Linked DNA regions of Diceros bicornis minor. The protein of the gene in region 1 binds, or shares a complex with, the protein of each later gene. Links are inferred from orthologs where the notes say so. Each region holds a gene or a part of one and is shown on either strand. Other genes may lie near its edges.

Region 1 (7,167 bases):
AATATTAAATTGGGAGCATTTTTCCATGTTATTCAATACTGGTTTTTAATGGCTAGATTATCTGTCTATCCGTATATGTCTATATCCTTTTATATATTTATTTTTGAAATTTAATCTACAGTAATGTACAGGTTGATGAATTTCTATGTTGCATACACTCATGAGACAAGACCACCACCCAGATGGAATTATAGAATCCTGTGGTCCCTCTCAGTCCATAACCTTCCCATTTTCACAAATTGACCCCCAGTTTATTTACCTACTCCCCTATTACTGGACACATAGGTTGCTTCTAGTCTTTTATCCTTATAAACAGTGCTGCCGTGAACTTCCATGTACATACACGTTTGTTTGCATCTGATTGCTTCCTTCAGATACATTTCTAGAAGTTGTAAAACACTGGGTCAGGGGGCATGAACATACGGGAACGCTCTCAGTTAAAATGCTGCCTCCTTGTCAAACATCTTTCCCATTACGCTTGTCCAGAATGGCCTTGCCCCTCCTTGGTGTTTCTGCTGCACTTTGCTCAGACAGTACAATTATGGTATTGTATTCATGGGCCCCCAACCTGTTTCCAGTGCTTGGCTTCAAAACTAGATCCTCAGGAGCAAGCTTTGTGCATCTTTGCATCCCCCTACCTGGAGACACAATAAAAATTGTTTGAGTTCTCTTGTCTATCTCTGAAGCCCTTCCTAAAAGCAGTGACGTTTCAGGGCTATTCAAAACCAATTGAAATTGGTTTCACTTTGAGAGTAAACAAGACTTGCTACATAGCCGAGGAGAACTCTGAAACCCATCTCTAGGTACTTCTGAGATTGTTGACGTGGTTAAATGAGTTAATACACAAGAGAGTGTTTTTTTAAAAATTCCCATCAGACTGTTAAACTCAGAGCAAACATTTTTTTTTTCCTATTAATCACCGGAGCCCTCACATACCTTATTGGGTTAAGTCCAGTAACTCCCAGGGGTTTATGTGTCTAAAGGGGCACACAGTTGCTTTTCCCTTCAGGAATGCATCTGCCCGGTGCGTTCCTGCTGTTGCTCCTTGCCGCCAGGTGGGGTTGCTGTTGAAGACTGGTCCTGTGCAGTTGTAGGAGCTGGCCTGCTCACGGCTTCCTTCTGTGACACCCTTGCGTGTCCGGCTTGGGCCACCGCAGTCTGTCAAAGGAGAACAAGCCCACTCCCTCACTCCAGGCCAGGCTGAGGATGCTCTGCACTGGGGCTCCTGAAACTGCCTTTCTGCCACTTCCCATGGCAAGAGCAAGTCATGGGGTCAGAGCCGTTTCTTCTCTGTGGAGGCCACCTTGCTAAGAAGTGAGGCAGCCTTTTCAAGGGCATTCCAAGTACAAAAGATCTTGGCCTCTCAGGACAGTGGGGCCAGTGCTCTCTGTACCTAATATAAGGGACATATTGCTGGAGAAGAACCATTACATTACAGCAAGAGGATTTACCTGAGCCTCACCTTTGCATAACTGATAGGAGCCATTCAAGAGTCTCTTTTTCGAAGCAGAAAGTCTGCTAGGTGAACTGCAGTGTCTATTCTGGACCTAAAAGAAGATGCTAACCTTTTCAAGATTCCCATTCAGTGGCCATCTGATTTAATCTTTACAAGTACCCTTTTATATAAGTTAAATGTGAAATAAAACTGTATATATCTATGTGCATCCTCATGTGTATATAGTATTATATTTAATATTTAATTCATTCATTAAATATTTACTGAGCCCCACTGGGTGCCGGATCTGTGGAACTGAACTGCATACCTATGTCTGAGTGTGTGTATACAGTTGCCGTGTATCTGATGAGATGTTCATTCACTTATTTCACAAATATTTAATAAGCTCTTTTCTGTCTACTTGGGACACTGAGTGGAGTCAGTGCCCTTGCAGACCTCACAATGTTCATATTTCTTCTTAGTTTAAAAAGAGCAGGTAATGGGCCGCCCCCGTGGCTTAGTGGTTAAGTGCGTGCGCTCTGCTGCTGGTGGCCTGGGTTCGGATCCCAGGCGCGCACCGACGCACCACTTCTCTGGCCATGCTGAGGCCATGTGCCACATACAGCAACTAGAAGGATGTGCAGCTATGACATACAACTATCTACTGGGGCTTTGGGGGAAAAATAAATAAATAAATAAAATCTTTTAAAAAAAAAAAACAGGTAAGTTGAGTGCTTTCCAAATTTTACTTAAACAACCTGACTCATGCAAAACAAATTGCTTATTTCTATGTAATCCTTGATTAAAAAATAAGATACTGGGACCGGCCCAGTGGCGCAGGCGGTTAAGTGCGTGTGCTTCGCTGCAGCAGCCCGGGGTTCGCCGGTTTGGATCCCGGGCATGCACTGATGCACTGCTTGTCAAGCCATGCTCTGGCAGCGTCCCATACAAAGTGGAGGAAGATGGGTGTGGATGTTGCCCAGGGCCAGTCTTCCTCAGCAAAAAGAGGGGGATTGGCAGATATTAGCTCCGGGCCGATCTTCCTCACACACACACACACACACAAAAATATATATATATATAAGATAGTGTACATCAGAGTTAGATATTAAAAAGAGAAGTAGGGTGGGAATATACTTGGGGAGAGCTTGTTTATTTCGCTTATCTGAAGTAAGAAAGAATATCTCCAGGTGGGCTGGTTTCCAACTTGCACCACATACACAAAGCACTTCATTCTAGGAAGGAGAGAGTAAATTAAAGAGAAGTATTTTGCCCATGTTTATTTTCTCCTACAAGTGTGATATAAAACTTTTAACATGTGCAGAAGCAAGCAACCACAACCACGTGTGGAAACAGCCATTTTTGCAAATAAAAATGCTTCCCAGAAGCATGACAAATGCAAGACTAACAGGTGTAGCACAGATCCAAGGCGCACATGTGGTTCTCATCAGCTGCCTCTCTCCTGTTTTAAATCTAGGTCTTCCTCTAACAACGAAAATTATTTCTCCCAAGGCTGCAGGCCGATAATCCACTCAGCCTGCTTTTCCACCCCTTCTCATAACAGTCATTCTAATAGAGCTTCCAGAGAGAGAGAGTAGAGACAGCAGTGAAAGAAGGCAGCAAGGTGGGGTGGGGAGCGGCGGGGGGCAGCCCTTAGACTTGACATTAACAATTCTGGGTTTGACCTATAACTCTGGGTGACCTTGGGTCTCACTTTCCTCCTCCATGCAAAGCAGGGTGGAAGGGTCCTTTAAACCAGTGGTTCTCAACAGAGGGCGATTCTGCCCGCCAGGGGACACCGAGCAATAACTGAAGACATTTTTGTTTGTCCGTACTGAAGGAGAGGGTGCTACTGGCATCTAGTGGGTAGAGACCAGGGATGCTGCTGAACGTCCTGCAATGCACAGGACGGCCCCTACAACAGAGTGATCCGGCCCCAAATGTCCCTGGTGCCCAGGTTAAGAAACCCTGGCGTGGACACAGGTTTGCAACCTCGGGCTCAGCTCATGGCGCTGGCTTTGGAGCTTTTGCAGCCGGGTTGGCGGCTCCTCCAACAGGCGCTTTACTGTCTCCCGTTTTCGTGATCCGGGCGCGGGAGGCACTGCAGCCCCCTGCGCCCTGGGGAGGGGAGGAGCGAACGGAGGAGGGGAGGGGACGGGCGGGGCGGCGGGCCTTGGCGCCCCTCAGATGACCCTTCCGAGCAGAAGCACAACGTGGACGTCTGTCTGCCTCGCCCCCAGGAGCGCCGATCTAGGGGCTGGGAAGGACTCCCGGGCTCGGAAAACTTGGCAGCTTCTCCCGCCCGCGACTCCCGTCACTGCGGGGACGGCTTTCCTCCCCGAGGAGTGGTCCTTCCGTCGCCCTGCCCGCCCCGCGGCCCAAAAGCAGCCGCCCGAAGTGCCCGGGTTCAAGAACTCGGTGCGCACCGCGCGTTTCCGTCGGAAACCTCCGCCCCCCGGCCCGGAGGGGGCGGGGCCTCCAGGCGCCGGCCGTTGCCCCGCCCAACCGCCTCCCAACGGCTCCCTCGGCCGGGCCGGGTTGAGTGCCCCTGTGCGCGCATGCGTGGAGGGGCGGGGCAGGGCCCGCGCGGGGCCCCGCCCCGGCCCGGCGTCTCTGCCCGCCCCATCTCCCAGCCTCCTCAGCGTGGCGCCGACGCTGCGTGCGGCGCGGGTTACCCAGAGTGCTCCGCGCAGGGGCAGCTCACTGGAGTTTGGTTCTCGAGGCGGCGGCAGTAGCGGCGGCGGCTCCGGCGGCTCCTCCTCCTCCTCCTCTGGTGGCGGCGGCGCCCCGGGCCCGAGCCCCGGCCCCGGCTCCCTTCTCCGCCACCCCGCGCGCCCCTTCCTCCCCCGGCGCCGCGGGGAACATGAGGCTCCGGTCCCGGAGGCCGGCGAGTGAGTGACCCCCGTCCCCTGCCTCAGCCCGCCCGCCCGCTGGCCCGGCCTCTACCCCCCGCCTCGCCCAGGCAATGACAGCGGCTCCGGCGTCTCCGCAGCAGATCAGGGACCGGCTGCTGCAGGCCATCGACCCCCAGAGCAACGTAAGTACCCGCCGCTTGTGCCGGGACGGAGGCCGCGTGGGCCCGGGACCCTGCTTTTCCCCGGTGCCCCTCGTCCTTCGGGCTCCGAGAGACCCGCCCGACGCCCACCTCACCTTGAGGGCCACTGCCATCCCGGCCTCTCGCCCCCCGGGCCCGGGCCGGGGGAAGGTCGGGCAGCCCGGCGGCGCTCTGTACGTGAGGCTGAGGCTTCCGTGCGGCCTGGGTGGAGGGAGCAGACGGGAGGTGAGGCCAGAGCTTTTCCTCTCCTCCCACTTCGGTTGTACGACCCTCGCTGCTCCTGACGGAGCCCCCCCGCCTCGCCCTCCCCCGGGGGCTCGCGACCCCCGGGAAGCCCTCCCGGCGCGGGGGAGGGGTGGGAGAAATGCTGTGAAGCAACTGGTGTCTGGGATATGACTCGGGGAGCCGGTGCCTCCCGTGTCTCGGTCTTCTGGGTGATCAGGGAAGCTCTCCTTCCCTCTTCTCCCGGCTGGAAGCACCTTCTTGGCTTCGGAAGGAAACCCCCCGGCGTGCTTTGCCCCTAGCCGGGTGCCCGCGGCGTGTGGAGAGTCCCCCTTGGTTCTGCGAGTCGACATGTCTTTTCCGGATCCCTCTTGGGGTCGCTGCCGACGAAAGATAATCTTGGGGAGGGTAGGATTCTTCCTGTTGCCTTTCTGAGCCTAAGTGTCCATTGCGTCTCTGACCAAGCCAGAGCCCCCCTGTTTAGTAGTGAATTAGAAATGATTGTTTTCTCTTCTGTTCCCCCATGAGCCCTCCTTCGGCTGTCTCTTCCCCCACCTGGAGGTCCCAGGCTGGTGCTTTGTGAGCTAGACGGTCAGGGTTAACCCCAGGGTGTCGCTTTCTCAGATGGCTCTCCACCGAGGCTGCTGTTTGCAGAGGTATGTCCCCTGCCCCCCTCCGTGTGTGTAGGGGAAGACTCATCCTGTTTTCATATTTTCTCCAAAGGGTTGTTGGCAGTAGGGGTCATTTTCCCCTATGGCAGGAGCAGGTTGAGCAATAGGAAGATGCAGTGGCATCCAGGTATGAAGTGAGCCCCTGCATTTGCTGAGAGATCAGGAAGTGGCAGTTGGAATCTCTTTTTAACATGCTGGGGACGGAAGGAAAAACTGTCTTGGACTTGGCCAGGTAACCCAGGTTTCTCTCACTGTAGGGGCTTTTGCTTTTCCTTTATGTGAGTTTGGCTAATTCCTCTTAGCATTATGCTTTGGCTTGGTATTTTTGGAATAATTCATGTTGGATTGTACAGTTTTGGTAGAAATTGAGAAGTTATGATCTTTATAAGCCTCTGATTTCTGTATCATAGGTAATTCTCTCATCCCTGGTCTTTAGTCCCCATTAAGGTTGATTTGGTAGTAATTGTCTTTAACAAATGTTGTATACATTTTTGTTATGATTTTGGGGGTGGAGTAGGCACAAGCTATATAAAACCTTCCAGAATTTTTGCAGCAAGTGGTGCTGCTGCAGTGGCCAAAACTGAAATATTAGAGGATAAAACAAGTGATATGAAAAATATAGCATTGGCGACTTTTGTATCTTTTGTCCAGTCAGAGTATAATTTCTTGAATTCCATGTGCTTGCTTGCCTTCCAGAGAATCTGAGAGGTGCCTGAGATATTAGCACTGATCCTTAATGCCACCTAGGAGAGCTTTGGGATCAGGAGGCACTTTGACAGGCGGTCACAATGTTGTAGATTAGGTGGGGCAGTGACCTCCGAGGTTCCGGTGTTCTATAAGGCTGTAATCTAAAGGCTTCCTAGGAGTAGAGGAGGGAGAGGAGGATGACGGGCTGGCCAGAAGCAGGAGGAGGGAAGAAATCCAGTTTCGTGTATCTTGGCGCCTGGTGTGTGCAGAAACTTTACATTTATTTAAGCCCGTGGTTGTGTTGCATGGGATGGAATTCATGTTTCATTTGGCTTCTTTTGGGGTTTCTAGTGATAGGTGTACGTTGAGTCCTACCTACTAACATAAGTGTGATGGATGGAATTGGGAAATTGTCTCTTTGAATATGTGCAGCAAGGAAAGTACCTCTTCTAAATGCTGCCATTGTAAGCAACCACCGGTGAGCATTGTTACTAGCCATTTGACAGGAGCCTGGCTTGGAGCAAACCCCATTATAGAAACTCAGCTGTGGCAGAACAGGTTGCTGGTGGAGATGGTACAACCGTTATGTCTGCAGTTTCTCACTAATGACCTGGGCTCAGGTGAGAGTGAGGTGGCTCCAACAAGGTGTTGCTGCCACACAGCTGCTCTCCTCTGCCTTGCCCAGTTATGAACTCGACTTCCGGATAGTTAGTTGACACATATTTAAGATGCTCGTGGAAAAAAAAATGGGGACAGTGTTGAAGAGCCAACACTAAAATTAAACCTCTTCTGAGAGAAGCGACAGAATTGTGTCGTGTAATGCTTACCTTTATGGGCATGCAATTATGGTTAACAAACTTCGCTTTTGCTTGGTCAGGCAGCTGACCTAATATCCAGAAGTATCTAGAAAGTTGAGAGGTAACAAAGTAACGTTTACTGACCGTCTCCTTGACAAAGGAGTTGTTAAGAGGAAAGTTGTTTCTGTGCTCTAAATTCTAGCCTGTGGAGTATTTGAATTTCTACAGCAGCAGGCTATAAATTATAATTTCTGCCAGCTCAGTAATAAAGTAAATCGTCTACACTCCTTTTAAAAAAGC
Region 2 (7,164 bases), on another chromosome or scaffold:
TAATCTTCCCACCAGTCTTCTAGGTACTACTAACAAGGGGGATAGAAGCAGTTAATGCAGAAAGGTCTGGAAGGATACATACCAGGTTGCTGACATTAACTATTTCCAGAGGATGGAAATGGCAATGATGACAAATTATTAAATTTTTCTTTACACAGCCTTGAATTATTTCATTTGTTACTTAAGCACATATCACTTTTGTAATAAAAACATTAACACGGAACATTGTTGAAGAAAAGTGACTACTTTGTTCATTTAAAAAACACTGATTAAGAGTGTTCATATATAATGCACATGGTCTGCCATGTTAAAAAAAATTAGTAAGCTCACCAAAGACTGAAATTCCAAAGTCTAATTATTAGTCTATAGCAGAAGTTGTATGAGGCAGAAGCATGAGGGCAGACTCGGGGGCTTTACAACATTCCCCTGGCCTGAGCCCCTATTCTACTGGGCAGCCCAGCGCACTCCCCTGTAATTAAATGAAGTAAGTGGGTAACGACTCAGCACAGCGCCTGGCAATAGCAAGTACTCTGCCTCACCATGAGGTCCCTCAGAATCAAGGTCATTCACATTCTGCTAAACGGGACCTCCTTTCGTCCTCCGACAAATATCACATAAACTATTGAAAGCACGAATGTAGGGTCTCCTCAAAAAGCAACACATCCCTCTCCTCTGAGAGCTCCTGCCCTGACATCTGACAGAGGACACTGCTTCTAACCCTCTCCCCTAGCAAACCCTGCTACGAAGTGGGGTGCTTCCCCCAAAGGACCACTCTAACTTTCTAAGTTGCTAGAAACTTCAGGGTTTTTCAGCCTTGGTACTATTGACATTTGGGCCAAATGACTGGGCCAAATGACATTGGGCCAAATGATTCTTTGTTGTCAGAGGTGGGGGTGTGGGGATGACCTGTGCATTTTAAGATGTTTAATGGCATCCCTGGCCTCTACCCATTAGATACCAGTAGTATCCAACCCCCACAGTTGTGACAAAAACATCACCAGACATTGCCAAGTGTTACCTGTGGGGCAAAACTGCCCCCAGTTGAGAACCACTATTACAGATCAATTCAGTGGTTCTTCAGTCATCCCATGAGAACCCAGGACTAGGACTACACATTAATATCCATGCATGCCTCCCTAAAAAAACTCCCCAAAAAACATGAACTTTTAAACCTTTAAGACCTTCTTCCCAGGAGCAAAGTAATGTTGCCTGTGAAAGGCACATTTTCTAAAGCATTTGTCTGACATTTTAGTTCAAACTTTCTCCCTTATTGGTGGCTGCCAAAGGACTATAGGCAAGGCAAAATTAGGTAGGTCAATCCAGGCCCTGTGGGGTGAAACAGAAGGATGAGGGGTTCAGCCAGCTGGTGCTCCCTGAAGAACAAGATCTCAAATTCATTCATAAAATGAGCAAGACAGACCGGCAGATGACTGTCACTCAGTCCCATGGCTTTAAATACCATCTATGTACTGACGACCCCACATTTTACATTTTCAATCCTCACCTCTCTCATGGTAGCCAACCTCTTGCATTCAACCACCACTCAGTGTCTCCACTTGGGTATTTTATAGGCATCCCAAACTCAACATGGCCAAACTGAACTGATTTTCCCTCCTAAACCTGATCTTTCCCTGGTATTTCTCATCCCAGTAAATGGCACTACCATACACCAAACTGCTCAAGTCAAGTCACCCTTGATTCTTCTATTCCTCTTCCCTTCACCTTCGTATCCACCAGTCATGTCAGCCCTGCCTCCAAAACACACCCCTAATCTGCCCTCTCTTCTCTAGCTCCACTTCTTCCACCCTAGTGTGAACCACTTTCCTCTTACTGGACCATGGCATTAGCTTCCTAAGTAGTTCCCATTTCCTCTCTTGTCCGTCCCCTACATCAGGGTTTCTCAACCTCACACTATTGACATTTTGGACTAAGTCTGTTAGTATGTTAGTCCAAACTTAGGCCCCTTTGTTTGGAGGAGGGGAGCTGTCTTGTACACTGTAGAATGTTTAGCATCATCCCTGGTCTCTACACACTAGATGCACCACCCCTGCACAAATTGTGACAACCAAAATGTCTCTAGATATTGCTAAATGTCCCCTAGGGGACAAAATCACCCCCAGTCAAGAACTATCCTATATCCTACACTCAGAAGCCAGGATATTTTAAAAATGTAAATTGCATCATGTTACTCCCCTGCTGAAAACCCTCCAATGTCTTCCCATTGACCTTAGAATAAAATCTACTGTAGCTTACAAGACCCCTATGAATTGGCCCCTGCCTACTTCTCTAACATCTTCCCTTCCATACCATCCTCTCCCTGACTAAGCTCCAGCCACACGGGTCTTTCTGTTCGTTGAACATTCCAAGCTTGCTCCCATCCCCCCTTGGCACTTGCTGTTCCCTCTGCCTAGAATGCAGTCTCCCCAGATCTTTGCATGGCTCACTTTTCATCCATACAAATCTGAGGTCAAATGTTGCCTAATCACCAAGGCCCTCCCTGACCATCTTATCTAAAGAACCCCCTTACCTCCGTTCTCTATCACACTACCCGTTTATTTCCTTCATAGTGCTAATCACAATAGCAAACGGTCTTTTTCTGTCATTTGCTGTCTGCCTCTTCATCAAAGCATAAGCTCTTTGAGGGCCAGGACCCTGTCTCCTGCCTGGTTCACTGCTATAGCCCAAGTGCTAGAATAACACCTGGCACGGAGTGGGTTCTCAATAAATACTCCTTCCCTCCACCTTCTTAAACCTCAGGTCAGGTTTCCCTTCTAAGATTATGCTTGATTGTTGATGTTGTTGTTTACCTTCAATTTTCATTTTTAACTAAATTTGGCCTATGTTAAAAAGTGTGTGGGTGGGGGTACCATATACAAGGGCTTAGCAAAGGAAAATAACCGATTATTGTGAAACATAAACAAAGGCCAATGAATTAATGAATGAATGAAAGTCTGTTCCTTGCCTCTCAGATTTTTAGCAGGCATATAATCATTCCACTGGTCATGATTTCAGTTTGCCCTCTGTCCCTAAGTCTGAAGCAGTGAAGGTCGTCATTCAGGGACTATGAATCCAAAACTCACCTGGCTCAGAGGTTGAAACAGCCTCTTTGTCCATCAACCCACTTTAATACAGTATCATGGGCCTGAAAACTTTTTGTGCTGGCTTCAAGTTAAAATAGTTCACTGGGTGAAAGGCAGTGCGGTCCAAGGTGCAGCATGGTCAATAAGTGCTAGCTGAGTCCCGAAACCGCAGCTTGGCTCTTTCTGACACTGATTCATGGGCTGTTTCTATGACACCAAAGATGACTGGTCCACTTGGCAGCCGGCTGGCTGCACACTGGAGGCAATTCTGTCCTGGCTACGGGCCACGGCCCTTTCGTGGCCTCTGGGAAGTGTTTCATGGGGCCATTTTTACATTCTGGCGGGCAGCCGGCCTGTCCCGCCGGGGCGGGCTCTCCACGCGGTGCAGAGACGTCTCCAACCGCAGGGACGAGGCCCTGACGTGGCGGGAGGACGTTTCCGTGCGCTGCGAGGAGGTCTCCACGTGCTGGGAGGACACCTCGAGGAGGCGCGGGAGCCACTTCCCAGGGGAGGCGGAGGAGGGGGAGGGCCGCTCGCTGTGGCGCAGGGAGGTCTCCACCTGCCGGGAAGACGTCCGCACCTGCCGCGAGGAGGTCTCCACGCGGTGGGACGAGCTCTCCACGCGGACCGTCGATGTCTCCTGGTAGCGGGCGGTCTCCACCCGGGGCGAAGAGGGCTTTCCCCGACCGGGTGCGGCCATTCCGCGAGTGTAACGGGCCCAAGGAGGCCTGAGGCCCCGCAGCCCAGCGGTCCTCAACAGTCACGCCTCTGGGTTACGTCACAGGGTAAGGAATGACATCACAATGACGTGTTACGCCACCGCAGGCACAGGGGTGGACGAGAGGGTCACGACACGAGAACGTGGAGGCACGTGGGCCTGTGGGGCCTGGACTATCCCTTCAAAATCCTGGGCCGGGCCCCTGCGGCACTCCTTCGGCCCCCGCACAGGCCCCTCGCCTTTTTGGAGCCTGCGCGGGCGGGGCCGGGGCGGGCCTGGATGGGCGGAGCCTCCCGCCCCGGCGCGAGACTGTCCCCGCTCCCACATCCCACAGTGCTCCGCGACAGGAAGGGGAGCCGCGGCTTCCGGAACCTGCCGCGCCGCTACGCGGGGTTGCTGTGTCCGGCTGGTGGCGAGTTACCGTGTTAGCTTGTGATGGCCGCGGCTGTCGCTATGGAGACAGGTAAGCGGCGCTGGGAGTCGCGGGTCTTCGCAAATAGGACTGTCGCGGGCCCAGACCCCTCTTCTCGCTTCCCCGGCGGCTCCTTCCAGGCCTGACTCCCGGCAGGGATGGAGTTCGGACCGGGAGGGGGAAGCTGAGAGGTAGTTTGGCCTTTTCTGAGTTGGTTTGTTCGGAGATCCTTTTTCCCCACCTGTTGTTCAAACACCGACCACACTGACTTCCCGGCGTGGGCGAGACTAAGGGAGAGGACTTCGGTCTTAAACCGTTCCTCGATTTGTTTCTGCCTCTCAAATGAGCTTGCAGAAGTTTGAAATATCGTCGACAAAGTTGTGTGTTATTCTGCCACTGACGCTTCTCACATGCGACACACTCCTTGGTCTTGCGTACTCTCCTTTTCAGCTTGCTTTCTAAATGTTTTCCTGATTGATTTAGCATTCACCTAGCTTTGCTTAACTTAATTACTTAACAAGTTGTTGTAATGCATTACTGAAATGGGGGAAGGCACAGTTATTACAACCTACCCCAGTGGTCACTGTTAAAAATCCCTACATAGTGGCTCACAGGTGATAAATATTCTGCCCCGTGTGAGTTCCTATTTTCTTTGATGACGTCTCTTTAACTTGAGAGAAACTTCTCACTTACTCCTTTTAATCAGGGCTTTGCTTTTCTTAGACTTCTAAGGAAGGTTTATCTTCTCCCACACTCAGTGTAGGAAAACCATCACATGCCCTTCTCTATGCAGAAATGAATCTCAGCATTAGTCGTGTTTTTCTTTACTGCTGTTTTCTTTCTACAAATCAATATTATATAGAGTGATCTTTATTTTGGATAATTTTTGCTATCTTTTCTCCTAGATGATGCTGGAAATCGACTTCGGTTTCAGTTGGAGTTGGAATTTGTGCAGTGTTTAGCCAACCCAAATTACCTTAATTGTAAGTTGTTGAGCACCTCTTTGAATTAAGTAGCTATTAATGATTTCTGACAGAAGAGTTGCAATTCATGATAGTAACTACTTTTATACGTTCTCAATTGAACAGAATTAATGCTACACTTGTACTGGTATATATATAATTGAGCAAACTGTGACTTGTGTTTTGAATTCAGTATCTGTTGGTGGTGGGAATGTTATGTAAGTAAATTCTTTATGTTAGGAGTTACAAATCAGTAGTTCAAGGATTGGTTTGCTCTACAGATGTGTTTTTTTTCTTATGCCTTTCAGTTCTTGCCCAAAGAGGTTACTTCAAAGACAAAGCTTTTGTTAATTACCTTAAGTACTTGCTTTACTGGAAAGAACCAGAATATGCCAAGTATCTAAAGTAAGTTTAATTTTATAGTCCTAAATATGTGTATACTTTATTATACTCCAAAACACTGTATTCAACAGACTTCTTAGTTTCACATTGGAAAAAATATATTTTAAATCTCTCCACTTCTTTTAGTTGCCACCACCTTAATACAAGACACATTCATCTCTAACTTGGATTATTGCAGTAATCTACTCATGGGTTATCCCTGCTTCCACTCTTACCCCCCTGCCCCTGCCAAGCCAAACAAAGCAAAATAATTTTCAGAAGCCAACTTAATCTCTTAAAAAAATGTAAATCGCAACATGTCAGTTTCTTGCTTGGCACCTTTCAGTAGCTTCCCATTGCATGTAGAATCAAATACAGTCTCTTTTCTTGAGCTAAAGCCCTGTATATTCTGGCCCTGAACTGTCTGACCTTACCTTGTACCCCATCTCACTGGATTTCTGATCCCAAGGAACCCACAATCTATAAATGCAATGACATAGCCATAGGCTGAAAATTAAAGAACATAGAAAGGGGTACTTCTAAGGAAGGTTTCCGGAGGAGGTAACCTTACCTGAGTCTTAATAGCTGCTGTCTTTTTATAGGACCGCCTATGTGCCAAGCACTGTGCTTATTTAAAAAAAAATATATATATGTATATTTAGCACTTGGGTTGTGCAACAGATGTCATTTTAAGGCTTACTAAATTGAAAGAAGCATATTATAATCACAAACCTATTCCTTTTTAATGGTAAAAAATAAACTTTGAACTCATATTTCTGCTTTGTCTTAACCAGGTAGTTAAAAAGCAATAGTGAAACTTTTTGTCTTTTTTTCCCTAAACAAACAGTAAGTTGGAGAGGAAGATGTTTCAAGTTTGTACTTTATCCAAGTCACTTTTCTAATCTGTGTCTAAGAAAACAACTGATTAACGGAGCCCACATCCTCTTGCTGCCTGCAGGACCCTTTGCACCCTTACTGGCCCTTTATAAACAACCACTTATTCATTTAATAATCCAGAGAAGAGACTTTTTTATTAGATTGCAACATGTTATATGTATGTAGTTTTAGGGGGAAGAGGGAGAATCTCCCTCTGCCCTTTTCCTTAAGGTTCTTATGGCTGGCCAAATAATTAACAAGACAGGTTAGCAGGAGAAAATAATACCAAGTTTAATAACATGTATACATGGGAGAAAGCAGGGACACTGCGTTTCTCAACACAATAGCAGAAATTCTCGTTTTAAATACCATGTTCAGCCAATGACAAAGGAGGATTTTGGGGGTTGGGGGAGTCAGTTACAGGAGATTACCACTAAAGCACAGTAAACAAGAGTAAGGTTATTATGCAGCTTTAAGGCCTCAACTTCCACATTGATAAGCCTCTAGAAATGAGGCCATCCCCCTCTCTTCTCAAAACAGAGAGGGAGATACCTTTACAAATGGAGATTTCCCTTATAAATGTAAATGATTGTCTGGCAACTCCTCGCAGGGTCATCCAGAGAATGTGGCCAGAGAGACAGAACTTCTGATAAGAGGGGCTTGTTGGTGCCTTTCCTATTGTAACCTCCATCCTACATTATCTTTACAGCCATCATGATAGATCTGTTCCAGGAA
Region 3 (7,805 bases), on another chromosome or scaffold:
CGGACTCCTCGCTTCTGATAAGAGTCCGACTTGCAAGTTCCGGTCATGTCCTAGTCCTTTGGTTCCGTGGTGGGGGAGAATCTTTGGTTCTGGTGTCATTTCAGGTCAAGATTTTCTCCTCTGCACGTGCTCTGGCTACGTGACTTGCAACTTTTTTTTGCACACTGCCTCTGAAAAATAACTCTTAATCACTCCTCTGTTGATAAGAAGGGGTCAGTTCGAACTGGTCCTAGTGGGCCCATGGTTACAGCAACAATAAAGAAATAACTGGAGTCAGCTAAGGTATAATGGGAAAACACCAGTCAGATCTAGGTTCAGGTTCTACCCCACCACAAACTGGCTGGTGCCTTTCAGTAAATCACTTAACCTCTGACTTTGGTTTCCTTGACTGAACAAGATCTTTTTCAAATTGCTCTTGTGAGGATTAAATGAGATAACTGGTATGAAAGAATTGTATAAAGTATATGGTGTAAAACTGTAAGATATTACAACCAACTCAGTGTGATCCTGGAAAAATAAAACTTTTCCAGGGAATTTTCTCAGTAATATTCCATTAATACAATATACGGTTATTCAATTTGTTTGGTTTTGCTTAACTTAAGTCATTCCTTTCCACCTAATAATCCTCGTGATAATCCATGCACCTTTAATTTAATTAGAGAACTGAAGGAGGGCTTTCAGAGCTCTCAAAGGCCCTTCTCAGTACCCTTGGCTTATAGTTCTTTCTCACCTTCTAGAATGTAAGCTCCATTATGAGCAAGTGAGACAGACAATAAACATGACAAAGAAACAAACAAGACAATTTCAGAGTAAAGACCACAATGAAGAATAGCAAAAACCATGTGAGAAAAAACATGGGAGGAGGAGCAACTATAGATTTGATGGTCCAAAGCCTCCATACCTTTTGTTTGTAATACAGGGACCCAAATCATTACTGCAGACAGAACCGGTCAACAGCAATTTACAGGAAGGAGTCAGGGACCTAGGTTTTTAGCCTCAATCTCCAACAAAAAGTAACTGACTAGATTTAGAAATGGACATGTAAAGTGGGGGTTAAGGAAGATGACAGACCTTACTAAATATTATACCTCAGCAAAAATGAAGAAGAGTTTCCATGAATGAAATTGGTTTAGAATTGGGATTTACAATTGTGGAAAGATGAATTTTAAAAGGGAGCTGTGGTCAATCAGAAGACCAAAGATAAGACTAAAAGGAATATTCTCTAAAGATAGAGAATGGGTCTATGGCAAAGACTGGCTATGTATACTCCAAACCTTATTTCCTTTGCCTCTTGGGCATATTGCAACTAGACTCTCAGTCTCCTTGCATCTAGGCAGAACTGTATGACTAGTACTCCTGGACAGAATGTGAGTGGAAGTGATGTGCCACTGCGCCTAGGCAGTTAAGAAAGGGTGTATCCTTGCATTCCAGCTTTCTTTCAGCATCCGCTGGCTGGATGATGCTAGGAAGGCCATAGGTTGAAGACAGAATGAGACTGGGTTCCAGAATAACTGTGTGAAGCAGAGGTCCCTTGGTTGTTCTGCTTGTTCATTCATTGTTTTGAAACTTTTTGTTATAGAAAATTTCAAACACATACAAAAGGATAGAGAGGATACTGAAGAGTAACAGAATATGCCACCCCAAAATATGTCACTTTGGCATAAGGATTATTTTGAGCCTGAAGGCAATTGAGAAGTAGATAAAAGAAAAGCTGCCTACTCTCCCCATTTGTCTAAAAGCAGGACATAAATTTTCAAAGGTATCCCTCCAACCCTCTCTACCAGGAAGGACAAAAGTTAATCAAGGGAGGTAACTTTAGACCCTATCAGCCTGGAGACAGCGCCAGAGCAATCTACCTAGCAAACTAGCCTTTACCTACCATTAGTTTACTTTCCCACAGTCTGTCGCCCTTGGAAGCCTAAAACTGCTTTCCTTTGTCCAGCCATTTCTTGACAAATTTATCATTCTTTGCTGAAGACGCTGTATAAGTGGAGTTCTAAGCCACCCCTTTGAGTTACTCCTTTTCCCCTGGTATCTCCCATGTATACATGAGACATACATGTTAATAAACTTCTATTTGTCTTTTAATTATCTAGTCTGTCTTTTATTACAGGGGTTTCAGCCAAGCCCTCAGAAGGGTAGAGGGAAAATTAATTTTCCTCCTCACAATACTTTAATGAACCCCTATTACTCAGCTTCAACAGTAACATTTTGCCAAAATGGTTCTATTTCATCTATGCTACCCACTTTTTTTGCTGGGGAAACTTAAAGCAAATTCCAGCGATATCATTTCACCTATAAATACTTCAGTGTGTATCTCTTACAGATAAGGACTTTTTTTAACAAACCAAAATCCCATTATCATACCTTACACAATTAACAATAATTCCTTACTGTCATCTAATATTTGGTCATTATTCAAATGATCCCAATTATCTCAAGTTGTCTTTCTACAGTTGTTTGTTCAAATCAGGAACAAGCAAGCAAGATCCACGTACTGCATTTGGCTGATGTGTGTCCTTGTTCTTCCTTAATCTCTAATATATCTGCCCTTCCTTTTTACCCCCCAGCCATTTATCTGTTGAAGGCATTGAGTCACTTGCACCGTCAACATTCTTGCTTTTAAGATTTGGCTGCCTTCATACTCATGGTATGTTTTTTTCTAATGATGATCCTCCATCTCCCATATTTCTTGTAAAGTGCTAATGAAATCTAGAGGTCTGAATACAATAAAATCCAAATTTTTTGCCAAAAATGTATCATAGGTGGTGCTAAGTACTCCCCACTGCATCACTTCAGAGGACACATTAACCTTTCATCTGATGGTTTTAGCATCCACCGATGATCATTGCCTCGATTTATTATTTCATTGGGGCTACTAAATAATTTTTAAATTCTATCATTCCTTCTGTATTAACCCAAATTCTTATATTAAGAAATCAACATTCTCTTATCAATTATTTGATTACTCTGAAACACAGTATATCTAAGAAACGTGAAATGCTTCTTTCCTTTTATTTAATAAAATAGAAATAAACTTTTGTTCTGTTAAGCCATTGAAATTTTGAATTTTACCTGTTATTGCTAACATTATTTACCTTAACATCCTAACTTCCCAATCACCAAGGTAAATCAGTAAAACACGTATTTTCCGGGAAAACAAACACTGGCCATAAACCCGAAGTAGTTAAAAAAAAAAAATTCTATCAGAGTAATAATAAAATATAAAACCTTCCAATATTTTGCATATTATTAGACGAGTATACAAAGAAATTAATTGTATAAAAGGTTCTACATTTATTAAAATCTTTATTACTATCCACTTATATTTTTGAGTTCCATTTTGGTTAAAGTGGTATAGAATATCAGACAAAGATAGGATCTTTTGAAAGAGCATGGCAACATTTGAGCTAATTGATAATACTGTCTGGGAAAGGACAGACAAAGCATTAAAAAGTAAACAAGAGACGGAGGATAAAAGTAAAGGAGTAGGTTCTAGTAAAGGTCAAGACTCATTTGAGGAGGCTGGAAAACAAGATGAAAACTCAGGATGACCTTCCTTCCTCAGAACACAGATGCTGCTATACACCAGAGGGCACAGAGCTTCCATTCATTTTTCTGAGTGGTCCCTCCATTCTTAGTCAGGAAGTACAGCAAGAGGCTTGAGATAGATTTCTTTACAAGATATTTTTTACAATTCCTTTTCAATAGGCTTAACAATTTTATTCATTTTTGCATTCTCAGGATGCAGCACAGTGCCTAGCATACTGCGCGCACTCTGGAAATGTTAACTGAATTAAGAAATGGCTGTGAGTGTGCAGGTACTATGGCCAGAAGAGTGGTTTCAAACCCCAGGCACTCACTCGTTGTGTGACCTTGGGCAAGTCGCCAAACCACGCTGAGATCAATTTCTTCATCAATAAAAAGTAAATACCATTTGCCTTGTTTACCTCACTGGCTCTCAATAGGCTCTCCATATGAGCAGCACTGTGAAACACTGTACATGGGTCTTGTTAGGTAGGGCTATTGACAACTATGAATGGTAAGATGGAAAGAACCCTGGACTCCAGAGTCAGAAGACCCAGGCTGTCTTCTGTGCAGACTAACCCGCTGTTTTCCCATCTTAATTAAACATGCAGAGGTCTAGAGCGATGACGGTCCGACCCTACACGCTAATGGTCTGGAAGTCCGCTACAGCCTCGGAACCTCAGGTGTTCTCAAAAAGGGGAACCTCAAGGCCCCCGGATGCAACCGCGGGGGCAGGGAAGTCAAGGTCGCGGGGTCCTCAGGCGGGGGTCGCTCACCCAGTCAAAGTCACACGGGTTGCCGTCTTCGCGTTGCGTGGGGAGACTGTGGCAGAGCGGGGGCAGCTTCCTCACGAGTAGAAAGGCCACCGAGAGCAGGGCTGACAGAAGGTAGTAAGGTCGGGCCAGCCATCGTGAAAGTCGCGGCACCGAATACACCAGAGCAATTAAAGGCGCCAGGACCGCCATCTTTTCGGCCGTTGCGGAGCCCGCAGCTCCTCGGCGTCGGTTGGTCAGGTAACCGTCTCTCCCCACATTGGGCCTGGTCTCGGATGCACCGCCTCTGGACCCGGAATTAGATCTAATTGGACTTTACGGTGGGTAAGAACTGAGAGAGGGATCTGATACTTTATTGGTCAATCTAGCTGTCGCTTTTCTCCCGCCCCAAGACATTTTATTGGACATGTGACTACGGCAAGCGAAGATATCAGAAAGAATTTAATATGGTTAGACAGCGCTTCCTGAACGTTCTCAAACAGCGACGGAAGTAGTTGCCGGAAGAAAGTGGGCGGGGCCCGAGGCAATCCAATGATAAGCGGCTCCTGGAGGAAGGGGGCGGTACCCCGTAAAAGGATTGTCCAATGAGAATCACCAACGCCAGACACCCGAACACCGCCGGCGCGGAGGGGAAGATGGAGAATTTCACGGCGCTGTTCGGGGCTCAGGCTGACCCACCACCGCCCCCAACCGCACTCGGCTTCGGACCGGGAAAGCCTCCACCCCCGCCTCCCCCTCCTCCGGGCGGGGGACCCGGCACGGCCCCGCCCCCCACCGCAGCCACGGCCCCTCCCGGCGCCGACAAGTCAGCGGCGGGTTGCGGTCCCTTCTACCTAATGCGGGAATTGCCAGGTGAGTACTAGGCCTGGCCGAAACCAGCCAATCAGATCATAGCGATGAAGTGAGGGGCGTGGCTCTCAGCCCGCCGGCGGAGGTGAGGCGTAACCTAGGCAACGCGTTCTGGGACTTTGGAGCTCTTAAGTCCGAAGGGTTCTGAGGATTCACAAGCAAAGGAATGGCATGAATTCTTGGGATGGATTGGGGATGGGAAAAGAATGCATCCCCGTGATCATCTTTCACGCCCTGTCCGGCCCCTGTCCCTGACACTGGTTTATGGCTCCCTAGAAGCTATCCAGGGTTCGAGTTTGGAACTCGAGAGTCCTGATTTAACATCCCTGCGGACGTAAGGTTTTAGTTCCAAGTCTGCCACAAACTTGCTATCGGTTTGGGGCAAGCTGCCCTCCTCAGGGCCTCAGCGTTTCCTCAGCTGTTTGAAGAAGTGATTCGAATTGAACAACATTCTTTCATTCAAAAAATTATTTTGTTGAGCACCTACTGTGTACCGAGCACTGTTCTAAATGCTGAAGATACAGCTGCGAACAAGACTCACAAGATCGTTGCCTTTTTTGGAGTTTATATGTCAGCGAAGGAGGCAAAAAGTAAAAAAGATAATATCAGACAGTGGTTATTGCTACAAGGAGAAAACGTGATAAAAAAATTGAGGGGGCAGAACTACTTTAGCTAGAATGATTAGAGAAGTCCTCTCTGAGTACATTACATTTGAGCTAAAATGTAAACACAGAGAAAGAGTCAGGCATTTATGAGTGGGAGGGAGGGATAATTCTAGATACAAGAAATGAGATCAGAAGCCCTGATGTGAGAAGAACCTTGGAATATCTGAGGGACCAAAGAGCAGTTGGTCTCCAGTGAATTGAACATAAGAAAGAGTGATAGGAGATGAAGGTGGGAGGAATAGGCAGAGGCCTTGTAAGGCATTTAGATTTTAAGTTCAGGGGGAAGCCATTTTAACACAGGAGAGTGACATGATCTAACTTATTTTTTATTTTATTTTATTTTTTTGGTGAGGAAGATTGGCCCTGAGCTAACATGTGTTGCCGACCTTCCTCTCTCTGCTTAAGGAAGATTGTCACTGAGCTAACATCTGTGCCAGTCCTCCTCTGTTGTATATGTGGGACACTGCCACAGCATGACTTGATGAGCAGCGTGTAGGTCCGTGTCTGGGATCCGAACCTGCGAACCCTGGGCTGCCAAAGCAGAGGGCATGACCTTAACCACTACACCACAGGGCCAGCCCCATAACTTATTTATTTTTAATCATTCAAGCAGCTACATTAAGAAAGCAAAGTGAGAAAATCAGTCGAGAGTTACTGCTTAGTAGTCAGGCAAAGAGATAATGGCTTGGACTAGGCAATAGCAGTGGAGGAGAGAAGTAAGTGGATGCAGGATAAATGTTAGAGGTAGAGCAGGAATGAAGGACTACATATAGAAATGAAGGAGAGAGGAATTGAGAATGATTTGGAAATTTTTGGCTTGAATGATTGGGTGGATGGTAGTGCTAAGACCAGGAAAGAACAAGGATGGAAGGTGGAAACAAGATTTCCACCTTTGAGGAGGTGGAAATCAAGAGTCATCTTATACATGTTAAGTCTTCAAGATGCCTTTCACTTCATCCCATGACCTACTGCCACATCAAGAGTTGAGGGAAATAATAATGAATGTTGGTACAGTACTTTGAAGTTGACAATGCAGTTATATATGTCATAGTATTTAATACTTAGAACAGCCCCTCGAGATAGGCATTGTTATTGCATTTTGTAGTTGAAAAAACTGAAGCACAGAGAGGTTGACTTTTCTTTGGTTAGTGGTTGATGTCTACCAGCAGTTTCTTTAACCTTACCTGTTCTGATTGTACCTTTTTATATCAATCACTTGACAGATATTGAATATCTGTTTTGAGCAAAGGCTGGATGTGTAGGAAAGGGGACATGTGATGAGAAGGGGAGAGAGATTAATAAGCCCGGTCCTTGCTTTTAAGGAGCTTATTTTACTTAGGGATGCAAAGTTGTGGTCTAAGGATAAAGTAGTGACTGTTTCTTGTCAAGGCCAGTCTCATTACTTTGTGGTCATGACTCACATACAACTATTAAGAACTACATCATGGTCTTCAAAATGTGTCCCTTGTTATCCAAGTTAACAGCAGGAATAAGTTGTCACTTGAGCTAGACCTTGAAGAATTCATATTAGTGAAGAAAATTAGGAGGAAGTTTCCTATAATTAGGTCAATTTTCCTAAAAGAAATTTCCTAAAAGGAAACAGTATGAGGGGTGTTTTTTTCAGGAGATGGTGGAGACCCATTTGGATGGATCAGCAGTTTTGCACAGGGCAGTAGTGGTTGATCAGGCCCCAAAGCTAAGTTACGGTAAGATGTATTTTACCGCAAATGCCAAAGGAATTTGAGCTTTTTCCTGGGGGTAATAGGAAACCATTGAGATTTCTGAACTGAGGAGTACTGCTTCTAAAGATATCTGCAGGGGCTGGGCCGGTGCCATGGTGATTAGGTTTGCGCACTCCGCTTCGGTGGCCTGGTGGTTCGTGAGCTCGGATCCCGAGCACGGACATATGCACTGCTTGTCAAGCCATGCTGTGGTGGTGTCCCACATACAAAATAAAGGAAGATTGGCACAGATGTTAGCTCAGGGCCAA
Region 4 (7,521 bases), on another chromosome or scaffold:
GAGGGACGTGCTAAGGAAAAAAGCAAAGGATGAAACCATAAAGGAAAAGATTGGCAGATTAAAGGAAAAGATTGGTAGATTTGGCTACTTAAAAATTTAAATTTTATGAAAGTCAAAAAACACCATAAACAATACAAAAAGTCAAGTTGATGACCAAAAATTAAAATTAGCAAAGGACATGAATAAGGAATTTCACACACACAAAAAAGGAAATACAAATGGCCAATAAACACATGAAAAAAGTTCAAACTCACTAGTAACAAAAAAATCAAATTAAGAAACTAAAAATGTAAATATTTTAAAAGAATAAGAACATCCAGTGTGGATGAAAGAGCTGAGAAGTAGACATTCTAAGATAGGACTAATGGGAGTGTAATTTCATATAACTTTGTATAAAGTAATCTGTATCAAAAATCTTAAAAGTATTCATAGCTTTGATATGATAATTCTACTTTTAGATTTAAGTATGTCAATATGTATAAAAATTAGATATATGTATAAAAATTAGATATACGTATAAAAATTAGTGTACAAAACTGTTCATCAAAGTGTTATTTACAATAGCAAAAATCCTAAAATAACCTAAACGCCTAACGATAAAGAATTAAATAACCTGTAATACATCCGTATAATAGAATACTGTGTAGCTCTTTGAAAATCACATTTTAGAAGGCAAGTGATTGATCATGAAGTGTTTATGAAAAGGCAAGTTACAAAGCAATAAATATATATAGTATTAGGCTTATTTTGTTTTCTTTTTAATATGCATTCATGTTAATATGCATAGAAAGGTTGAAAAAACATATCAAGATGTTTAAAATAATTATCTCCAGGTGATTGAATTAAGAACGACTTTCTTTGCACATTTCTGCACTTTGTAAAAATTCTACATTGAAGGTGTATTGTTTTTAAATAAAATATAATTTTTAAAAAGATACATATAGTTTTAAAGATTTTCTTATAAAAGCATTCAGGATAATCATCTTCCTGTGTATGACACATAATGCTTTTCATGATGTAGCTCCTGCCTACCTCTCCAGGTTCTTCCCGCAACTAAACTCAAATTCCTCTATGCTGGCTGCACTGAATTAATTTCAGTTCCCTAAACTAACCCTATTCTCTCCCCAGCAATACCTTTGCAATGCAGTTGCCTCTGCCTGCAGAGGACAGCTGATGACCAATGTGTCAGCAATCAGAAGAGGGCCTCATTACCTTTGCTGTGCACTACTGTGACAGCTTGGGAGGATGACTGGCTGGGGTTCCTTGCTCATGTCAGAGTTCCAGTGGAGACCTGAGAAGCAAACGGGCTCAGCAGCTTTGCAGATGAGTTTGTCATCCCCATGAATTGAAAGGAAAATATTCCCCAATCCAAGATATAGGTAACTAGAGCCTTAAAGTCTGCTTAAAGTTTAGAAAAGGAAGAAAGGCAAGCCACCTATCCTAGATTTTTGATAAAATCCAAGACACCTTGGATGGAGATGGGAGCAAGGATCCAGGGGAAAGGCAGAAAAAAACTTGCCCGTTTATCCTATCCCACTCTAATCTCACCTTCGTTCTGTATTTTTTAACTCTCACGTTCTTCGTGTGGGTAGTAATTTACATTATTTTGACTGTGTTTATTAAATTAAATTCAATAAATGTTTACTTAGGAACTGTTATATGGAAATAATTATGCTAGGAAATTCATTCATTCAATCCATAAATATGCATTCAGTGGCTTCTATGTGCCAGGCTAAATGGTGCTAGGTATTGGAGATATGGAAACAATTAAAATATGTTTTCTGCCCACAAGTAGCTCATGGTGGTGAGTGAATTAGAGTCCTGTATGAGTAATTACACCTCAGTGTGCTAAATGCAATAGAAGTATAATAAACAATTATGGTAATGATTGGGAGTAATTAATTTACATTCAGGGTTCAGGAAGGGTTTATAAAGAAAGAAATGTTTAAAATAAGGTTTGAGGGCTGAGTAGATGATCAACAAGGAAACAAAGTGGAGGTATGGAAGGAAATGTGGGCATTCATGCAAGGAAGAGGAATTATGTGTCTTAATGGTGTGTGTAGAAGTGTGAAACAGCAGAGCATGTTTAGAGAACTGCAAGGAGTCTAGAACAGCAAATCCTTATTTATAGTGTTTCAGTCCAGTGCTTGGAACACTTTAAATGTTTAATAAATTGTGACTGAGTGGGTAATAAAGGTATTAGGTCTAGGATGTCAAGTTAAAGACTTTTTCTGAAAAAAATAGGGAGTCACTGCAGGTTTAAAATCTAATCAAGGTACTTACTACAAGATTGGATATGAGTTGATATTTGAAGCTGGGTGATGAGTACAGGAGGGTTCACTATACTATTCTATTTTTGCATATGTTTGAAACTTTTAATAATATAAAATTTAAAAGAAAGAACTTACCAAAATTACATGTTTAAAAGATAAGAAATATATAATACTGGGTTCCTGCTTTAAAACCATATAATCCAGTTGGAGATGCAAGAGAAGCAAATGAAAAAGCATATGAAAAGTGTCAAAATCATGAAAGGGAGAAAGGAGAAGGCCATGTTGCCTCTTGTAATTCATAAAATTTACAAGAAAAAGGTAAAACTTAAAAAGATAGAGTATGAATTAAATAGTAGCAAAGAAATTGCTCGTCAGAAATCCTAAGCTAGACACATAAGATTGTATTTGGCACACAAGGTATTTCCTGAAATCTACAGCTTCAAGAGATTCACAAACCCCTTAAGAATGTATGCAAAATTTTGAGAGCGTGGCCTGGGGAAAAGGTCCACGGCTTTCATCTGATTCTTAAAGGGGTCCTTGGCCAAAAGAAGCTTAGGAAGCCCAGGAAAACCAAGGGTTCAGGGTCATGGCTGAAAAATATTAAGTGATTATTTCACTCAGAAAATTATTGGGAGATGAGGCTGGATCTGTTGCGCTGAGGAGATTACAGTGAACCTTGAAAACCAGGCAGAGACGGCTGGACATCAACCTGAAGTCTCTGTGGAGCTGGTGAAAACCTGTAAGGAAGACAACAGGACAAAAGCTATGTCATAATATGAATTGTCTTGAAATGGCTCCTCTACCCTAGGCACCCAAGATCTCTTCAATCAAGCTATAAAATTTAGTATTCTCCTTTAGTGGGCCCTCTCATTCATCCCCCTATATCCAACCAGTCACCAACCCATGTTAATTTTTCCTCCACAAATAGCCTTTCCTTCCTCTCTGATCAGGATCAACACCCTAGTCTAAGCCCAACTCATCTCATTCTTGGATAACTGCAAAACTCTCCTCGCGAGTCCCTGACTAATTCATCTCTGCAAACCAAGCACCCAACATACCTGCTCTCACAGGGCAGGTATTCCATAAGGTACACTCAACTGGTGGTGGAAAGAGAACGTCATAGATTACTCCATTACTCCACAGTTAAAGCACATTAGAGTTACCTCTCATTAATCCCATTATGGAGGAAGTGCCTCACCCAGAGGTTCCTAATTAGGTCCCAGGAGGCATGAAGATGGTTTGGGGATGGGGCAGGAGGGGTGGTGAAACGGAAGTGGAGCTTCCCAGCTACGGTTGGGGTCAATCCAACAAGCTGAGTTCCGCATGGATAGTTTCCCCCACCCTCCCTCAAACCCAGGAGGGTAATCAGCGATAAACAGCCAGAGAAAGAGGGAATGTGAGTTCCACGAATAAGTTATTTGCAGATTCCACGCTCATTTCTTTCCAGACTATCCCCAGGCTAACTTTCCTTTAGTACCTCCTCCGTTCCTCACACTGAGTTCCTCGCTGTCATACAGACGAGATGCTTATTACGCTCACAGCTGACCTAACTCCAAACGCTCCTCTCACTTTTGCCCGCGGAGACCTTCTTTCTCCTTACTCTTCCGACACACCCAATACAGCTCAGTTTAGTATTTAATTGTTTCGGACGCTTCCCGTCTCACGCGTGTCAGCTCCCGCAACACACCCACACTCAGAATTAAAGCACGTACCCAGTCTCCACTTGGGTAAGTCCCTCGGGACCCAAAAGCAACAGAGGAGGCACCCTAACCCAGCCCTTCCTGGTTGGTGAGTTTTAATTTGGATTTGTCGAAGTTAAAGTCGGTATCGTGAGTCCCAAGTCTTCTTGAGTTGCTTGCTTTGTACGGTATGTGTTTCGTGGTCCACCTGGAAAGCAAGAGCAACGTAAAATAAGTATTCAGGGCGATTTTAAAAATGAATATATGGGAGGGTAGGGAAAATTAACTTTTAAAGACGGCAGAGACCAACAACTTCCGTAAAGTGTTTAACTCCTAAAAACCTCGAGAACTGTATGTTAGCCCCAAAACCGAGTGGACCCGGGACACCCCCAAGTGAACGACCTGCACCCAGCGCATCTTTTCCGCAAGGTAAGCCTCGGGAACTTCCCGCCCTCTCCTCGCCGGGCGTGGAGTTCTGCTTGACTCCACCCCCTCCAGAACGTAGCCCTGTGATTGGCCAGGACGCGTCTTAGAGCTGCCCAATCGCGTACGAGCAGCTGCTTTCGCGTTCTTTTGCTTGCGGGAGGAACATGGCGGATCGGCTCACACAGCTCCAGGACGCCGTGAACTCGGTGAGCAATTTCACCCGATTAGTCTCTGTCTTCCTCTTTCCCGAGGTAAAGTGAGGGAGGAAAAGGGGCCCGAGAGACAGAACCCGGAAGTGGGGAGCGGACCGAGGCAGGGCTTGAGCAGTAAGAGCTCGGGGCGGCGGGAGGCGCCGCGGCGATCGGGGACGTTTGAGGCCGGCTGCCCGGCGGTGCGGAGGGCTGCGGGAGGGAGCAGCCTCTTTGGCCTGAGAAGTGGCGGGTCTCTCTACCAAAGCCTCACGGTCCTGTCATGTTCTCCAGGGACAGTCTTGTTTTCTTGTCAGTGGCGCTTATGGGGTCTCTTCTCTTTTTGGGGGAGGGGAGAAGCAGCAGAAGCTCTTTTCCCCGTTGTCAGTTTTCACCCCTGGAGGGAACCCTGTGCTCTTGATGATTGGCTCTTTGTCGTTGGGTGTTAGCCGAGAGTATTCCTTCGCCAAAACTTTCAGGATGGCGCGGGAGTGATGGTGAGGTGAGAAGTTTTGTTTCATCTTAGTTGGTACCTAGAGACCAAAGGTCTTGTTCCATCTCTTGTCCTCTCCCCAGCATAAATCATTTTGGGGAAAACTGACATTTTTGTGCTAGTGAATCTTCTAATCCTCGTATACCTTCCCATTTATTTAAGTCTTCTTTAATGTCTCCCCAGTACTACTCCCTATTAAAGGTCAAGTTTTGTAAGTAGCTCCCTTTGCTTTGATCCTTCTGGTTATTTTTCCTGTTATGCCTAAGTGGAAAGTATGTGCAAACCAAGGGTTCATATACTTATTACCATTAAGTTAAATAGTTTTCCATTGGTAGTTATATTTCTCATGGTCATTCTGTTATTTGATGTCCCAGGTAAGATGCCTATAGAGAGAGAATATGTTGACTGGAAAATCTAAGTATTTGGTTCCTTGCCAGTTTTTTCTCATTGGAAGCTAGCAAGTTGGGATTCTGGTTATTACATCAATCTTAGTACACTTGAAGAGCGTGAATCTGCTGAGAAACTGATCTACTCTGTGTGTGTGTATAAAATAAACTCTTTTAAAAAAGAGAGGGCCATCCCTTCTAAATGTTGATGAATTCACCAAGATAAATTCAACCTTGCGGTGACTTACCTGGGCTGCCCGCCAAGCTCGCTCAGGAAGATACTCCTTTGAGGTTTTACAAAATCAAATTGTAATGATGCTGCTGGATAGAAATGTTATTTTAGGGGAAATATTCATGCATGTCTTGTAGCCAGAAGGATAGTAAGGACAAAGTGAATATGGCCTTAACTCCAGGGTGGGCGTGCTGATAATTGGATTTTGGAGAGAAGCATCTAGGTTAACTAGCATGAGTGCCTGCTGTGTATATAAGCACTACCATGTTTACAGAGAGATGCTCCTTAAGGAGTTTACAGTCTGATTAGAAAGATGTCATATACTGGAGACATTTAAATAATACGAAAGCAGTATGTGGTTTGGGAGTTATAATGAATCAAGTGTTTTCAGCTGTCAGTGCTGAAGTAAATTGGAATATAGAGTGATATAAACTAAAATAGAGGGATTCTTAGCATTTACCTGAATCGTAATTATTTGTAAAATTATTAAAATAACATTTGTTTTACCATCTGAGAACTCCATGAGGAGTTCTTGTTCACAGTATTGCTATAATGTTTATGTACAATGCTTGTCATGGAGTTGATTTTCCATAAATATTTGTTGAATACATGGGTCTTGAGAGCTTTTGAAGGACAGAGCAGATAGCCACTGTGTTGAATTTGTGTGTGTGTGTGTTCTCTGTTCCTCACAAGAATACTGTAATATGAGAATGTTCCCAATTTAAAAATGAAAAAAATCTACTCAGGTTACTAGAACCAGAATTAGAATCCACATCCTCTGAGCACTTACTACTGCTCTGTTACCAGTAAGGAAAGGTGAGCAAAGCGGTGTAGTCGGAAATGAATTCATCACTGGTCAGGTATATATGAAGGAGTGGTAGAAAATGAATAAGTGGAGTTGACTTAGATTATTGAAACAGCTTGAAGAGTAGTAGATTTATCTTGAAGACCATGCTGGAGTGAGCTCAAAATTTTTGAGCAGGGTAAAATAACAGTGAACTGGAAAACAAGAAGGAGGCTATTGTAACAATTCCTATGGGAGATAATTGGTTGAACTAAAACAGCAGCAGTGATGATAGAAGGAAGAGGGAAAGATGTGTAGTATTAGCAGGATTTGAAGATGAAAGGAAACCAAGAGTCTGAAGTTAAACTGGTTGACTAGGAGAGTCTCAATACAAATTAGATATTAAACAAAGGAAACAGTTGACTGAGTTCTGTCGTTCAAATAATGGCAGAGAGACTTCGTGGAAATGCTTATTCACTGATTGGAAATAAGATATTGAAATTTGAGAGGTCAGGACTATTGAGAGAAGTTGGTGGGGAGGATAGGAGTGTTAAGTTTGCAGATGGTAAGGACTTGATATTCTCAATCTCAAAACTGCTTAAGGAATACTTTTAGAGCACCGGGAGTTTACAACTTGAGTCATGGAGAAAAACATTTTGGAATACTTAAGGTGCAGTCTTTTTCCCACTATTTCTTTTTCTTGTTTGAGGAATATTAGCCCTGAGCTAACATCTGTTGCCAATCCTCCTCTTTTTTTGCTGAGGAAGATTGGCCCTGGACTAACACCCGTGCACATCTTCCTCTACTTTATATGGGACGCCGCCACAGCATGGCTTGACAGGCGGTGCATAGGCCTGCGCCCGGGATCTGAACCTGTGAACCCCTGGCCGCCGAAGCAGAGCGCACAAACTTAACCATTATGCCACTGGGCCAGACCCCGACTATTTCTTTATGCTTGAGACTACTCTGGTCTCAGAAAAGGGATTGTATACTTTGTACAAGAGTCACACATTTTTTTATTTACCCTGGGTCCATACTTAGATATTTGCCAGTCAAATTT

Evidence for each region.
Region 2: MED26 (region 1) and MED31 share a complex: the UniProt entries of both Homo sapiens proteins name them as parts of the mediator complex. The link is inferred for Diceros bicornis minor from reciprocal best matches to the Homo sapiens genes MED26 and MED31.
Region 3: MED26 (region 1) and MED19 share a complex: the UniProt entries of both Homo sapiens proteins name them as parts of the mediator complex. The link is inferred for Diceros bicornis minor from reciprocal best matches to the Homo sapiens genes MED26 and MED19.
Region 4: the proteins of MED26 (region 1) and MED21 are in contact, whole or in part, in a cryo-EM structure (PDB 7EMF), measured with the Homo sapiens proteins. The link is inferred for Diceros bicornis minor from reciprocal best matches to the Homo sapiens genes MED26 and MED21. Residues at the interface, in NP_004822.2 of Homo sapiens: Ser481, Arg482, Asn483, Glu484, Ile485, Ser488, Tyr489, Ser491, Arg492, Ser495, Leu496, Ser498, Ser499, Ser500, Leu528, His529, Ser535, Pro537, Thr538, Asp539, Leu540, Pro541, Gln549, Asp551, Leu552, Ile555, Gln556, Trp560, Gly562, Val563; in NP_004255.2 of Homo sapiens: Ala2, Asp3, Arg4, Leu5, Gln7, Asp10, Ser14, Gln18, Asn21, Gly24, Val25, Gln28, Cys29, Tyr54, Leu57, Phe58, Leu61, Arg64, Thr65, Lys67, Asp68, Val71, Leu72, Asp74, Ser75, Leu76, Pro77, Ser78, Glu79, Glu80.

The regions. Positions count from the first base shown.
Region 1 is NC_080759.1:4,774,147-4,781,313, reverse strand, and holds the start of MED26 (mediator of RNA polymerase II transcription subunit 26), read left to right. Parts: upstream 1-4,155; 5' UTR 4,156-4,400; coding exon 4,401-4,472; intron 4,473-4,497; exon of another isoform or gene 4,498-7,167. UniProt on the Homo sapiens protein: Component of the Mediator complex, a coactivator involved in the regulated transcription of nearly all RNA polymerase II-dependent genes.
Region 2 is NC_080757.1:13,085,215-13,092,378, reverse strand, and holds the start of MED31 (mediator of RNA polymerase II transcription subunit 31), read left to right. Parts: upstream 1-4,153; 5' UTR 4,154-4,233; coding exon 4,234-4,261; intron 4,262-5,115; coding exon 5,116-5,193; intron 5,194-5,480; coding exon 5,481-5,577; intron 5,578-7,164. Other genes in the region: C18H17orf100 (uncharacterized protein C17orf100 homolog), read right to left, coding at 3,397-3,780. UniProt on the Homo sapiens protein: Component of the Mediator complex, a coactivator involved in the regulated transcription of nearly all RNA polymerase II-dependent genes.
Region 3 is NC_080770.1:16,251,816-16,259,620, forward strand, and holds the start of MED19 (mediator of RNA polymerase II transcription subunit 19), read left to right. Parts: upstream 1-4,802; 5' UTR 4,803-4,885; coding exon 4,886-5,153; intron 5,154-7,805. Other genes in the region: TMX2 (thioredoxin-related transmembrane protein 2), read right to left, coding at 4,305-4,493. UniProt on the Homo sapiens protein: Component of the Mediator complex, a coactivator involved in the regulated transcription of nearly all RNA polymerase II-dependent genes.
Region 4 is NC_080756.1:35,909,467-35,916,987, reverse strand, and holds the start of MED21 (mediator of RNA polymerase II transcription subunit 21), read left to right. Parts: upstream 1-4,517; 5' UTR 4,518-4,542; coding exon 4,543-4,584; intron 4,585-7,521. UniProt on the Homo sapiens protein: Component of the Mediator complex, a coactivator involved in the regulated transcription of nearly all RNA polymerase II-dependent genes.